3 linked regions of the Xenopus tropicalis genome follow. Each later gene encodes a partner of the first gene's protein in a complex. Links are inferred from orthologs where the notes say so. Each region holds a gene or a part of one and is shown in the gene's direction. Other genes may lie near its edges.

Region 1 (3,653 bases):
TTTTCACTCTTAACCAGAACTCTTGCTTTATAGGAAGCCCCCTACAGTTTTATGTGGATTATGTAAACAGTGGCCATGTTACTGCCTATGGCCCAGGCTTGATTCATGGAACAGTGAATAAACCTGCTGTCTTCACTGTGAACACTAAGGATGCTGGAGAAGGTGAAAAGTTAATGCATTTCATTGTCCAACATGAATGCTAGCTCTGAACTGAATGCCATGACTAATCTTTTATTTGTTTCCTAGGTGGCTTGTCACTAGCTATTGAGGGCCCCTCCAAAGCAGAGATCAGCTGCACAGATAACCAGGATGGGACCTGCACAGTTTCTTATCTCCCTGTGCTCCCTGGAGACTACAACATCCTAGTCAAGTATAACAACAAGCATATTCCGGGAAGTCCATTTGTTGCTAAAATAACAGGTAAGTTGTATTGGTGATCACATAAAGCAGAAATCCCCAACCTTTTATAGTCAAAAAGTTTTGGGGAGCAACACAAAAATCAAAAATATTCCTTAAGGTGCCAGTGAGAGCTATTTATATATAACAGGCTATTTGATAGCCCCTATGTTGACTGGAAATCTACACAAAGCTCTGTTTGGCAATTACACTGAGATTTTATGCAAACAAAGATTGCCTTCTTACCAGAAATTTAAAAATAATCGCCTGCTTTGAGGCCACTGGGAGCAACACCCAAAGGGTTGGGAAGCAACATGTTTCTCACGAGCCACTTGTTGGGGATCACTGACCTAAAGCTTCCTGTAACTATAGCACAAGCTCTGAAACCTGATATTTGTGTGTTTTCTTAAACAGGAGATGATTCTATGCGTATGTCCCAGCTGAAGGTTGGGTCTGCAGCAGACATCCCCCTGAACATTGTAGAGACAGACCTGAGCCAGCTGACTGCTACAGTGACCTCTCCATCTGGAAGAGAGGAGCCATGTCTGCTCAAGAGGCTCAGAAACGGCCATGTTGGTAAGAATGATATATGCATGGTGAACTAAATATGCCGAAAATCTGGTCTAATTTAATTTATGTGCCGGTATCATAATCCTCTACACATGTCCTTTTAAGGTCTTTGCTCTAAATAATCATAAGGCATTTTCACTGTACATACAATTTAATGAATTCTTTCTGTAATCCTATACCTTCTTTAATCTGCTTGCTTCTTTTGTAGGCATCTCGTTTGTGCCAAAGGAGACAGGCGAACACATTGTTAGCATAAAAAAAAATGGTATCCACATCCCCAACAGCCCAATCACTGTAATGATCAGCCAATCCGAAATCGGGGATGCCAGCCGAGTGATAGTGTCTGGTCAAGGTCTGACTGAAGGGAGGACATTTGAGCCCGCAGAATTCATCATTGACACCAGGGAAGCAGGTACCTTTTATTAGAGCACCTCTTATACACCACCAGAAAATATAATAACCTCTTTGTTGGATGTCTGCAATAACCAACATGGTTGGTGTAGAAGCAGTTCTAAAACCAAGTCAGCAGGATGACACTTTGGTCTATGTTTGATCACTTTTTTTAATACTCAGCCTTTTACTACTGTTGCCTACTTGCCTTTTTTCTAAAGGTTATGGTGGACTTAGCCTTTCCATCGAGGGGCCCAGCAAAGTGGATATCAACACAGAAGACTTGGAAGATGGGACATGCAAAGTTACTTACTGCCCAACTGAACCTGGAAATTATATTATCAACATAAAGTTTGCTGATCAGCATGTTCCTGGTACGTAGTATTAACACTGATGGTACTTTACAGGGATGAGGAAGGGAATTTGGGTTCTTTGCATTTTGATTCCAAAACACCCTCTGTCCTATAACCTCCATCTATGCCAGTTTCCATAAGCCATTATTTTGCCTTATAGGCAGCCCCTTCTCTGTCAAGGTGACTGGGGAAGGAAGAATGAAGGAGAGTATCACTCGAAGACGCACCGCTCCATCTGTGGCAAACATTGGTAGCCAGTGTGATCTGAGCCTAAAAATACCCGGTAAGATGTAGTTCTAAGATCTGAAATTCATTGTCTAGACTGCCAGCTAATTAATGTCCTCCAACATATTAGGAGTTTGACACACATTAAGAGCTATGATGGGTCATGGCCTTCTCAAGGCGAAAAGTGGTAGAGGGATGATTTTACACATTGTGGCTGTTTTTATTTAGGCAGAGGAATAAATGGGATGCAAATTGTCAAGGAGCCTGTGGGCCAGTTTGTGTCAGTCCTGGTCAGATAATGCATGAACTCCTCCTGCTGTTTTACTCACTGGCTTCCTATCACTTGCAGAGATCAGCATTCATGACATGACTGCCCAGGTCACTAGTCCCTCAGGGAAGATTCATGATGCAGAAATAATGGAAAGCGAGAATAACACTTACTGCATCCGATTTGTTCCTTCTGAGATGGGCGTCCACACAGTCAGTGTTAAGTACAAGGGACAGCATGTGCCTGGAAGCCCCTTTCAGTTCACTGTTGGCCCCTTGGGTGAAGGAGGAGCCCACAAAGTACGAGCTGGGGGTCCTGGCCTGGAAAGAGCGGAGGTTGGAACACCAGGTATGATTTTAAGTTTTTTGTGTCCAAGGGCTGGAGTTAATATTGGTGGATCTAATTTTTTTTTTTTTTAATGCTCTTTACAGCTCCAACATTATAGGATGGATGCCAGACCCCTAGTTAACTGTATTGTACTTTTTACTTTATAGCGGAGTTCAGTATCTGGACCAGAGAGGCAGGAGCTGGTGGTCTATCAATTGCAGTGGAAGGTCCAAGCAAAGCAGAGATTGCATTTGAGGACAGAAAGGATGGTTCTTGTGGAGTGTCCTACATTGTGCAGGAGCCTGGTATGTTTGTTTCACTACTATTGTTCTGAACCTACCTATATTCTCTTCTTCCCTTGGTTGGCAAATATGGGTAGAATGCAAAATGTTTTTTCTCTGGACCTCATTGAACAGAAATGTAATATAATAGGGAGGTCCCTGCTCCAAATGTCTCAATGCGAACGACCAACCCCATTTTTAAGTACAAATTTCTTCCTGCCCAAGTAGAAATTTTATAACTGCAAGTATTCCAGAATGATACATTTTGATAGGTTAGATGTGAAGCTTTATACGGTCTGTTAATTTCCAGTATTTCCTTTTTGTAGGTGATTATGAGGTGTCTGTGAAGTTTAATGATGAGCACATACCAGACAGCCCCTTCGTGGTTCCAGTGGGTTCGACATCAGATGATGCACGGAGACTTACTGTTTCTAGTCTTCAGGTGAGACACTGGGAGAAACCTGTGCCCGCCTCATGAAAGGGCAGAGAATTCACCTCCTGAGCATCTGATTAGTACCCCCATTCCATTTTGATATAAAAAAAAAAGTTTTCCTTTTCTGGCTGCATTCAACGGTCCTAATGTCTTCCTTCCTTCTGTCCCATCTCCTTATCTGGAAGTCATTTTAGTAGGAGGTAGGATTTCCAGAAATACATATATAGGTGGAACATTTTTTTTTTTATTTTTTTTAGAATACTCTTGCAATCCGTTTACATTGTAATCTGCCCATCTTTACTTAACCAAAAGATGTCCTACCAAAAGTCTTTGCAACGTGTTCTCTGTATGGTGATGCCATTCCCCCAGCTTGCTCAGGAGGCTCTCAATGTGTTTTTCTCGTGTCTCTC
Region 2 (3,653 bases), on another chromosome or scaffold:
GGAAAACTATACCCCCAAACAATGTAGGTCTCTATAAAAAATATATTGCATAACCAAGCCCATATGGAAAACCCTGCTTCATCTAAATAAACCATTTTCATAAAAATATACTTTTTTAGTAGTATGTGCTTATTGGGTAATCCTAAATAGAATTTTTTTAAGAATTTAGGGATCATATGATTCACAGTGCACACAAACAAGCCAAGGTAGACATATATGCTGGCCATAGGGGGCGTGTAGGGGCAGATTCTCAGCCTGTGCTTACCCATGTATGCTCTGTGTGGCATTAGCCTAAATGCAAAATCTTTCCTTTGTCACTCTCTTTTTGTGCTGTTTACATAAAAAGCACTTGCAAAGCTTTGAATAAATGTGCATAAATATTGCATATACTGTATCTGCTAACAGAAAAAAGTCTTTTAGCTTGTCACAAAAGCTTTCCTCCCCTTCCCTTAGTCTCTTGTCATGCCTTCTTATAACTACAGTGGTCAGTGGTGTTTTGTCCTCCACATTTTTTTATTGAGGTAACTGGAATGCAGGGAAACATGTGCAGTTTAGTCAAAAACACACCACAGCCTTCCTATGCTATCAGTTGTTTCTTGCTTGTGGTTTTCTTGATTTCCACTCCACCTCTCAGTCTGTACTTTTTTCTATTTGTACTTTTAAGTATGGTTTGTATGCTTCTTGCTATAAAATGTACAGTATTTGCACCTTTTTCTTACATTTATTTCCTATTCCTCTCTCTCTTATCCTTTCTACAACACAATACATAGTCTCTTGTCTATGAAGATTCTCATTCATCCAGGTCATGATATACAGTATCTAGTAGAATTAAGTCTAAAACAACTGGACTTTTCTGAGTTTTTCTTGAAAACGTTTCACCGCTCATCCGAGTGGCTTCTTCAGTTCAAATGACTGGTAGGGAATTCCCCGGTATTTAAACTCTTGATGGTAGTAGAGTCACAGACATCCAATCACAATGGTTCCATTGAACTTGTTCAGTTAGGTGTTAGCTGAAACTGACAGGTGTAAGAAGGTATGATGGTACCAATGGTACCAAGATTCTCATTGATAAACTACCATCAAGAGTTTAAATACCGGGGAATTCCCTACCAGTCATTTGAACTGAAGAAGCCACTCGGATGAGTGGTGAAACGTTTTCAAGAAAAACTCAGAAAAGTCCAGTTGTTTTAGACTTAATTCTACTAGATACATAGTCTCTTGACTTTCAGCTACTAACTAGTCATGGGATTCAGGCCTGGACTGGCAATCTGTTGGTTTGGCAAATGCCAGAGGGGCTGTAACATGTAATTTACAATCTCTATTTAGTGGGCTGATTTAGTGGGCTGATGGTTGTTTGGGCTTTAAAATTACAGGGCCTATTAAATACCAGTCTGTTTAAATACCAGTCTGGTCCTAGTTGGGTTTAATATTTACATGTTTAGCAGAACCTGAAGAATCCACACAGAGATTTAAGCAGGGGCAGGCCAAGGCAGCTGGGCTCCCCCCCCCCTTCCTGCATGCAAACTGATGTTGTGGATGGAGGGGGAGCACGGTGACAAGCTAAAGCCGGGGGTAAGAGATCCCAGACTAGGGGTAGGCAGAAGAGGTATCTGCCTAGCCCCCCCCCCCACAAAAAATTTGCACCCTATGCAGGTGCCTCTTTTGTCTACCTCTAGTTCCGGCCCTGTATCTGAGACTGCAGGGTAGAACTTATCTTTATTGCTGGCTGTTCTCGCCACACACTCTACTCCTCCTTTTTCCGTATGCATAACCTTTGTCGTTAATCCACCCAGTGCTAAGCTGCTAATGCATATTAAAATAAACATTTAACATTCTTGCAGAAATAGATGGAACAACATTACATCAGATATTCAACCAGTGCCGTAACAGAGGAAGCAGACCCCACAGTCGCGGGGGGCCCGAGGCGCGGGGTCTGTTTCCTCCATTTAGCAGGTAAATCTCCGCTCCACGCCAGCTCCAAGGTAGTAGCGCGGGCAGGGAGTGGGGGTTTACAGGGCAGGCAGCGGAAGAGGCATCAGAGCTGAGGGACAATGCATCAGGGCAAGAGAGCCCAGTAAGTTTGCTACTACTGTGCAGGGCCCCTCTGAAGATTTTTTTGGAGGAGGTCCCAGAGCAGTAGAAGTAGTTACGCCACTTTATTCAACTTTATTGAATCGGGTCTTTAGTATTTCATCTTCCAGTGAATGGTGGCCCAATTTGATATCTGTACTGCCAAGGCCATTCTAGCTTAAACCACCAAGGTGGCTTTCATGATGCCTTGCCTTCCCGTGCCAACCGGAGGGGGTCTAGGGGGGCCACATCACTAGTACAGGAAGAACAATTGTACTAGAAGAGCAAAATTTCCAGTTTAAAAACTGGAAATTCAATTCAGGAGGGAATTTTTGCTACCTCTGGTATTCTGCAGGGTGCTGCCGCCATAGGGAGCTAAAGCCTATCATGAAATTGTAATACAAGGGGGAATAACATAATGTTTTTCACCAGGATTTTCATTTTACAGGCAAAGCTGCAGAATTTGACGTGACATTTAGAAGGGCTCAAGGATATCCAGTGGATCTCTACTACCTGATGGATCTTTCCTACTCTATGAATGATGATCTTCAGAATGTAAAGAATTTAGGAAGCAACCTCCTGGAAGCTTTGAACAAAATCACAACTTCAGCACAGATAGGTGATTATTTTATTGCTGTACTATTTTGCAAGTGGGTAAATGTGATACAGGTTTATTATATTTATTACTGCACAATCAATAACTGGTACACACTTGTCTCCAGAGAAATCTAGTACCCTTTGTACTAGAATCAGGGCTGTTTATAGTATTAAAGCTGCAATGTAGTGGAACTGCCACAAACCATAACTAATTATAGCTAACTGGGATAAAATGTGTTTTGCTAAGGTTTTGGTTCATTTGTGGATAAAACGGTGTTACCGTTTGTGAACACACACCCAGAGAAACTGAAGAACCCATGCCCAGAGAGGAATGAGAATTGTCAACCCCCATTTGCTTTCAAACACATTCTCAAACTCACAGAAGATGGAAAGCAATTTCAAGATCAAGTTGGGAAGCAGGGCATTTCTGGAAATCTAGATGCCCCAGAGGGAGGGCTTGATGCTATGATGCAAGTGGCAGTTTGTGGGGTAAGTAAAATAACTAGACTTTATTCAAAGCTTGGAGTTGACAACTCCCGTCTTCCAAAAATAGAGTGGAATAGACACCTGGATATTGCTTATTAATTGCATGCCTTCAGATTAGGTAGATGTAGGAGTTTATTTGACCTAATAAAATCTGCCAAAAGGAAAGAAGAGCTTAATAATATTTTATGCCTAATACTATGTATATGAAAAAGACAGGTTAAAATGTATCCATCTCCCAATATAACTGATGTTTTTAGACTTTGTGGGTTCAAGGTCCACCTTGAAGTCCAGCACTTAGTGAGGCTCCTCCTTAGCCATAACAGGGCTTCAGAAATAGGAAAACACTGCCATAACAGTCAACCTAATATCATTTTAGAGGTATCCACCAAAGCGAGTCATCATACACCCTCATCTATGGATGCTAGCCCCATGGTTTGGAGACCTCTGCAATTTAATAAATGATTGTGAATTTATATACATATTCTTAAATCAACACATAC
Region 3 (3,753 bases), on another chromosome or scaffold:
GAACGTGATAGGGACCTTAGATTGTAAGCTCACTGGGGCAGGGACTGGTGGGAATGTGATAGCGACCTTAGATTGTAAGCTCACTGGGGCAGGGACTGATGGGAATGTGATAGGGACCTTAGATTGTAAGCTCCACTGGGACAGGGACTGATGGGAATGTGATAAGGTCCCCATACACTATAAGATCCGCTCGCTTGGCGATGTCGCCAAGCGAGCGGATCTTCACCCGATATCCCCACCTGTGGGTGGGATCGGATTACATTTGAGGTTATGGGGCAGTCGGTTCGGGGACCGCATCAACGAGCCGATGCGGTCCCCGATCCGACTGGATTTTCTAACCTGGCCGATCGAGATCTGGCCAATTCCAGGCCAGATATCGGTCGGCCAGGCCGCTCTGTTCTTCCCATACATGGGCCGATTAGATGCCGAATCTGTCCAAGGGACCGATATCGGCAGCTATAGTCGGCCCGTGTATGGGGGCCTATAGGGACCTTAGATTGTAAGCTCACTGGGACAGGGACTGATGGGAATAGGAGTGGAGCATACAGCCTTGAATGGTATGCTCCACTGGGGCAGGGACTGATAGGGATGTGATAGGGACCTTCAATTGTAAGCTCCACTGGAACAGGTACTTATATGAAAGATATAGCCTCTCTGTAAAGCCCTCTGAAAATGTTTCACTATATAAATACCAGGAAAGGAATGGGTTAAGCAGTTCCAGCACCTAGGTAAAGTAATGTCAGCCTTTTTTAAACAATAGGCATAGAAAGAATAACCTGTGCTCGTAGTTATAATTAAGCATTTGTCGGAAAATAAATTCCTGTATAGACATAGGAAATCTCATGCTAAATCCCTGGAACCCTAGGGGTGATAATTCCAGGGTTCCCTTATGTCTGCACTGTACTTTGCACTTGTGTACAAGCGGGCTGACCCAGGGCATTGGTGTTATACCAAGGTTATAAGAAGTTTATATAAGAGCAAAGCACCTCTGTAAATAGCTTTAGTGTGCATCTCTGTGCTTGTGCTTGTGCCATGTGAGCCCTAGGCTGTATATTCAATTAAAGTTCAACACATAAACAGTGTCTGTGTCCGTTGACATTGCTGCTTCCCACATGAAAGGCTAAACGTGAGGCGTTATTTATTTCCTGTACATGCTGTAAGGGACAGAGAAGTGGGGTGTTAGGCAGGAATGTGGCAGTGAGAGGGTTAAGAATGGGGTCTGTCTGGAATGTTTGTAGTTACAGGGTGTGAACATGGGGCAGGGAGGAGCCAGGGAATAGGGGTTTGAGTCCTTAGCATTCTGCTAACTAGTTCCTATCAGCTGGCTCACTCACTGGCCAGTGGCAGGGGGGTTTGTGACTAGCTGACCAGGCTTCTCCCCAGCACACACACAACCCCCTGCTCCATACGCCACTGGACACAGCTGGGTGACACTGCCATACTGTGAAGATGAAGCCTGATCTGTATATATGCATTCTGCAACTTCTACTGCTCACAGCTGGAACTTGGGGTGAGTTACCCAATGTGTCTGTCTCTCTGTCACCTTGTCTGTCTGTCTTTCTGTTGCTCTCATTCTATGGCTGTCTGTCACTAAATCTGTATGCCATTCTAGGTCTGTCTGTTTTATATACTGTGCATGTTTGCTTCTTGCCTTATCATTTACTATATCTGTCTGTATGTCTGTCACAGTGGGCCAGTCTGCCTGCCATTCACTTCATCTCCCATTCAGTCACACACACTCTGGTATATCCGTCATCAGCAATGACTATCTGTCACCCACCACGCCTATCTGTTACTCACAATATCTGTCGGTCATGTACCACATTTGTTTCCCTTGCCAAGTCGCCATGTCTGTCTGTCCATTACTCGCTATATCCATCAGTATGTCTCTCATATTGTGTACCTTTCACCATGTCTGACTATCTCTTACTATGTCTGTCTTTATCATGCTATGTCTCTCCAATCTTCGTCAGCTTAATCTGTCTCTGTCTATCTCCCTCCACATCTGTCTGTTTGTCATTTCGGAATAGTCCATGCTTGCATCTTCAAGTCTCACTTGGTATCAGTTTCTGTCATTTCTGTAATTTCTAATTAATCATTTTTATATGCCAGTATAATGCCATTTATACTGCCTCTACTTCCCTCCTGTAAGATTTAACTCTGTATATACAATGTAGTTTCCATTCTCACGCCTTATCTCATTCTGCATACTTTCTGCTGTGAGTCAATGAAACAAAAGCACAGGGGTCGTATCCACCCTGTGTATAATGTAATATCCCCATGTGGGCTTGCTTTGTACACAAGTTTAAAATAGATAGAATAACAAATAAACAGACTGAGATGATAGATAGAGAGATAATAGATAGATAGATAGATGATAGATAGATAGATAGATAGATAGATAGATAGATAGATAGATAGATAGATAGGAATAGACAGACAGATGGACAGACAGGTAGATAGATAGATAGATAGATGATAGATAGATGGATAGAGAGATAGATAGATAGATAGATAGATAGATAGAGAGCTAGATAGATAGATAGATGATAGATATATAGATGATAGCTAGATAGATAGATAGATAGATAGATAGATAGGCATAAACATACAGACTGAAAGACAGATCAGTATTGGCTAAACAGCTCTCTTTCAATGTGGGGCTCTGACTTTGCAAATGAGTAGTTAAGCCAATAATAAATAAATAATAATAATAATAATAATAATAATAACAATATAAAATTGCAAAAGTGCTCTGATTAACATTCTGGGTATGTTCACATCAATACATTTAGTGGTTTATATTCCCTTTAATTTGCTAATTGTTCTTATTGGCCGTCATCTATATCAAAGTGTTACAATTGCAGTACTACAGTGGGTACAGGAAATCGTTGCTCAGTTTGGATGCACTGTGTTCATTTCAGGTGCCAGTATCTGTGCCACTCGTGGGGTAACCTCTTGCCAGAAATGCCTTGCTGTGAACCCACAATGTGCATGGTGTTCCCAAGAGGTAAGGCCACTTATCCAGTCTCCTAACATGAGTTGCCATTGAGTTTTTCTTCCACATTCCAAGCTGCTAAGTTGCTGCCCTTCTGGGGAGGCAACCCACACACATATAAGGGTGCATTTAATAGACCAAAAGCCTAAATGACTTAGCAAAGGTAACCAGGACCAAACTCTGGCTTTCTTAAATCACAGCCTTATCCCTAGCTGCTCAGTCTGATTGAGGCTGATGGGAGTTATAGTTCACTCCAGATGTGGATTAAGTGAACCTTGGGCCCTTGGACAGTTCTCAAGCTGTGGGACCCCTGGGAAATTCATTGCAACAGGGAAATATTGAGCTTCTCATTAGACCGCAGCGCTGCTACCTGATTAGCTGTGATTATATTATATAATGAAATTATATGCCTAAATGGTGTTTAGCTCCTCGACTCCATGGGCCCTGGGACACTGCCCTGTTATAATGCACCACTAATTCATTCAGACGGGCACAGGCACTGTTTCAGAATAAGAACATTTTTATCTATATCCCTCAGCATCCCCAGAGGTATTTATTGGGTGTTTGAGACAAGGGAAAGCCACATTTAGGCCTCTGCCTTCTGCCAGGGTTTTTCTGAACTACAACCCCCAGCATAATAAGTTAAAGGAATCTTTCCTCTAGCTGCGCTGTCTGGTGACTTCAGTGCCTTTTCGCCCATAAGGAGCCCGGCCTTCCTTTCCAGATTCCCCTCAGACTCTCCTAAAAAGGCAATG

Evidence for each region.
Region 2: the proteins of flna (region 1) and itgb2 are in contact, whole or in part, in a crystal structure (PDB 2JF1), measured with the Homo sapiens proteins. The link is inferred for Xenopus tropicalis from reciprocal best matches to the Homo sapiens genes FLNA and ITGB2. Residues at the interface, in NP_001104026.1 of Homo sapiens: Val2241, Thr2263, Ala2266, Gly2267, Ala2268, Gly2269, Gly2270, Leu2271, Ala2272, Ile2273, Ala2274, Val2275, Glu2276, Gly2277, Pro2278, Ser2279, Lys2280, Ala2281, Ile2283, Phe2285, Phe2311; in NP_000202.3 of Homo sapiens: Leu753, Phe754, Lys755, Ser756, Ala757, Thr758, Thr759, Thr760, Val761, Met762, Asn763.
Region 3: the proteins of flna (region 1) and itgb3 are in contact, whole or in part, in an NMR structure (PDB 2MTP), measured with the Homo sapiens proteins. The link is inferred for Xenopus tropicalis from reciprocal best matches to the Homo sapiens genes FLNA and ITGB3. Residues at the interface, in NP_001104026.1 of Homo sapiens: Gly2236, Arg2264, Ala2268, Gly2269, Gly2270, Leu2271, Ala2272, Ile2273, Ala2274, Val2275, Glu2276, Gly2277, Pro2278, Ser2279, Lys2280, Ala2281, Ile2283, Phe2285, Asp2287, Gly2291; in NP_000203.2 of Homo sapiens: Lys742, Ile745, Thr746, Pro771, Leu772, Tyr773, Lys774, Glu775, Ala776, Thr777, Ser778, Thr779, Ile783, Tyr785, Arg786, Gly787, Thr788.

Annotation. Positions count from the first base shown.
Region 1 is NC_030684.2:31,813,218-31,816,870, forward strand, and holds part of flna (filamin-A), read left to right. Parts: intron 1-33; coding exon 34-162; intron 163-246; coding exon 247-420; intron 421-810; coding exon 811-972; intron 973-1,174; coding exon 1,175-1,378; intron 1,379-1,577; coding exon 1,578-1,730; intron 1,731-1,869; coding exon 1,870-1,992; intron 1,993-2,283; coding exon 2,284-2,550; intron 2,551-2,696; coding exon 2,697-2,834; intron 2,835-3,136; coding exon 3,137-3,252; intron 3,253-3,653. UniProt on the Homo sapiens protein: Promotes orthogonal branching of actin filaments and links actin filaments to membrane glycoproteins. Anchors various transmembrane proteins to the actin cytoskeleton and serves as a scaffold for a wide range of cytoplasmic signaling proteins.
Region 2 is NC_030685.2:55,155,969-55,159,621, reverse strand, and holds part of itgb2 (integrin beta-2), read left to right. Parts: intron 1-2,518; coding exon 2,519-2,689; intron 2,690-2,914; coding exon 2,915-3,156; intron 3,157-3,653.
Region 3 is NC_030686.2:15,369,053-15,372,805, reverse strand, and holds the start of itgb3 (integrin beta-3), read left to right. Parts: upstream 1-1,290; 5' UTR 1,291-1,449; coding exon 1,450-1,510; intron 1,511-2,924; coding exon 2,925-3,010; intron 3,011-3,753. UniProt on the Homo sapiens protein: Integrin alpha-V/beta-3 (ITGAV:ITGB3) is a receptor for cytotactin, fibronectin, laminin, matrix metalloproteinase-2, osteopontin, osteomodulin, prothrombin, thrombospondin, vitronectin and von Willebrand factor.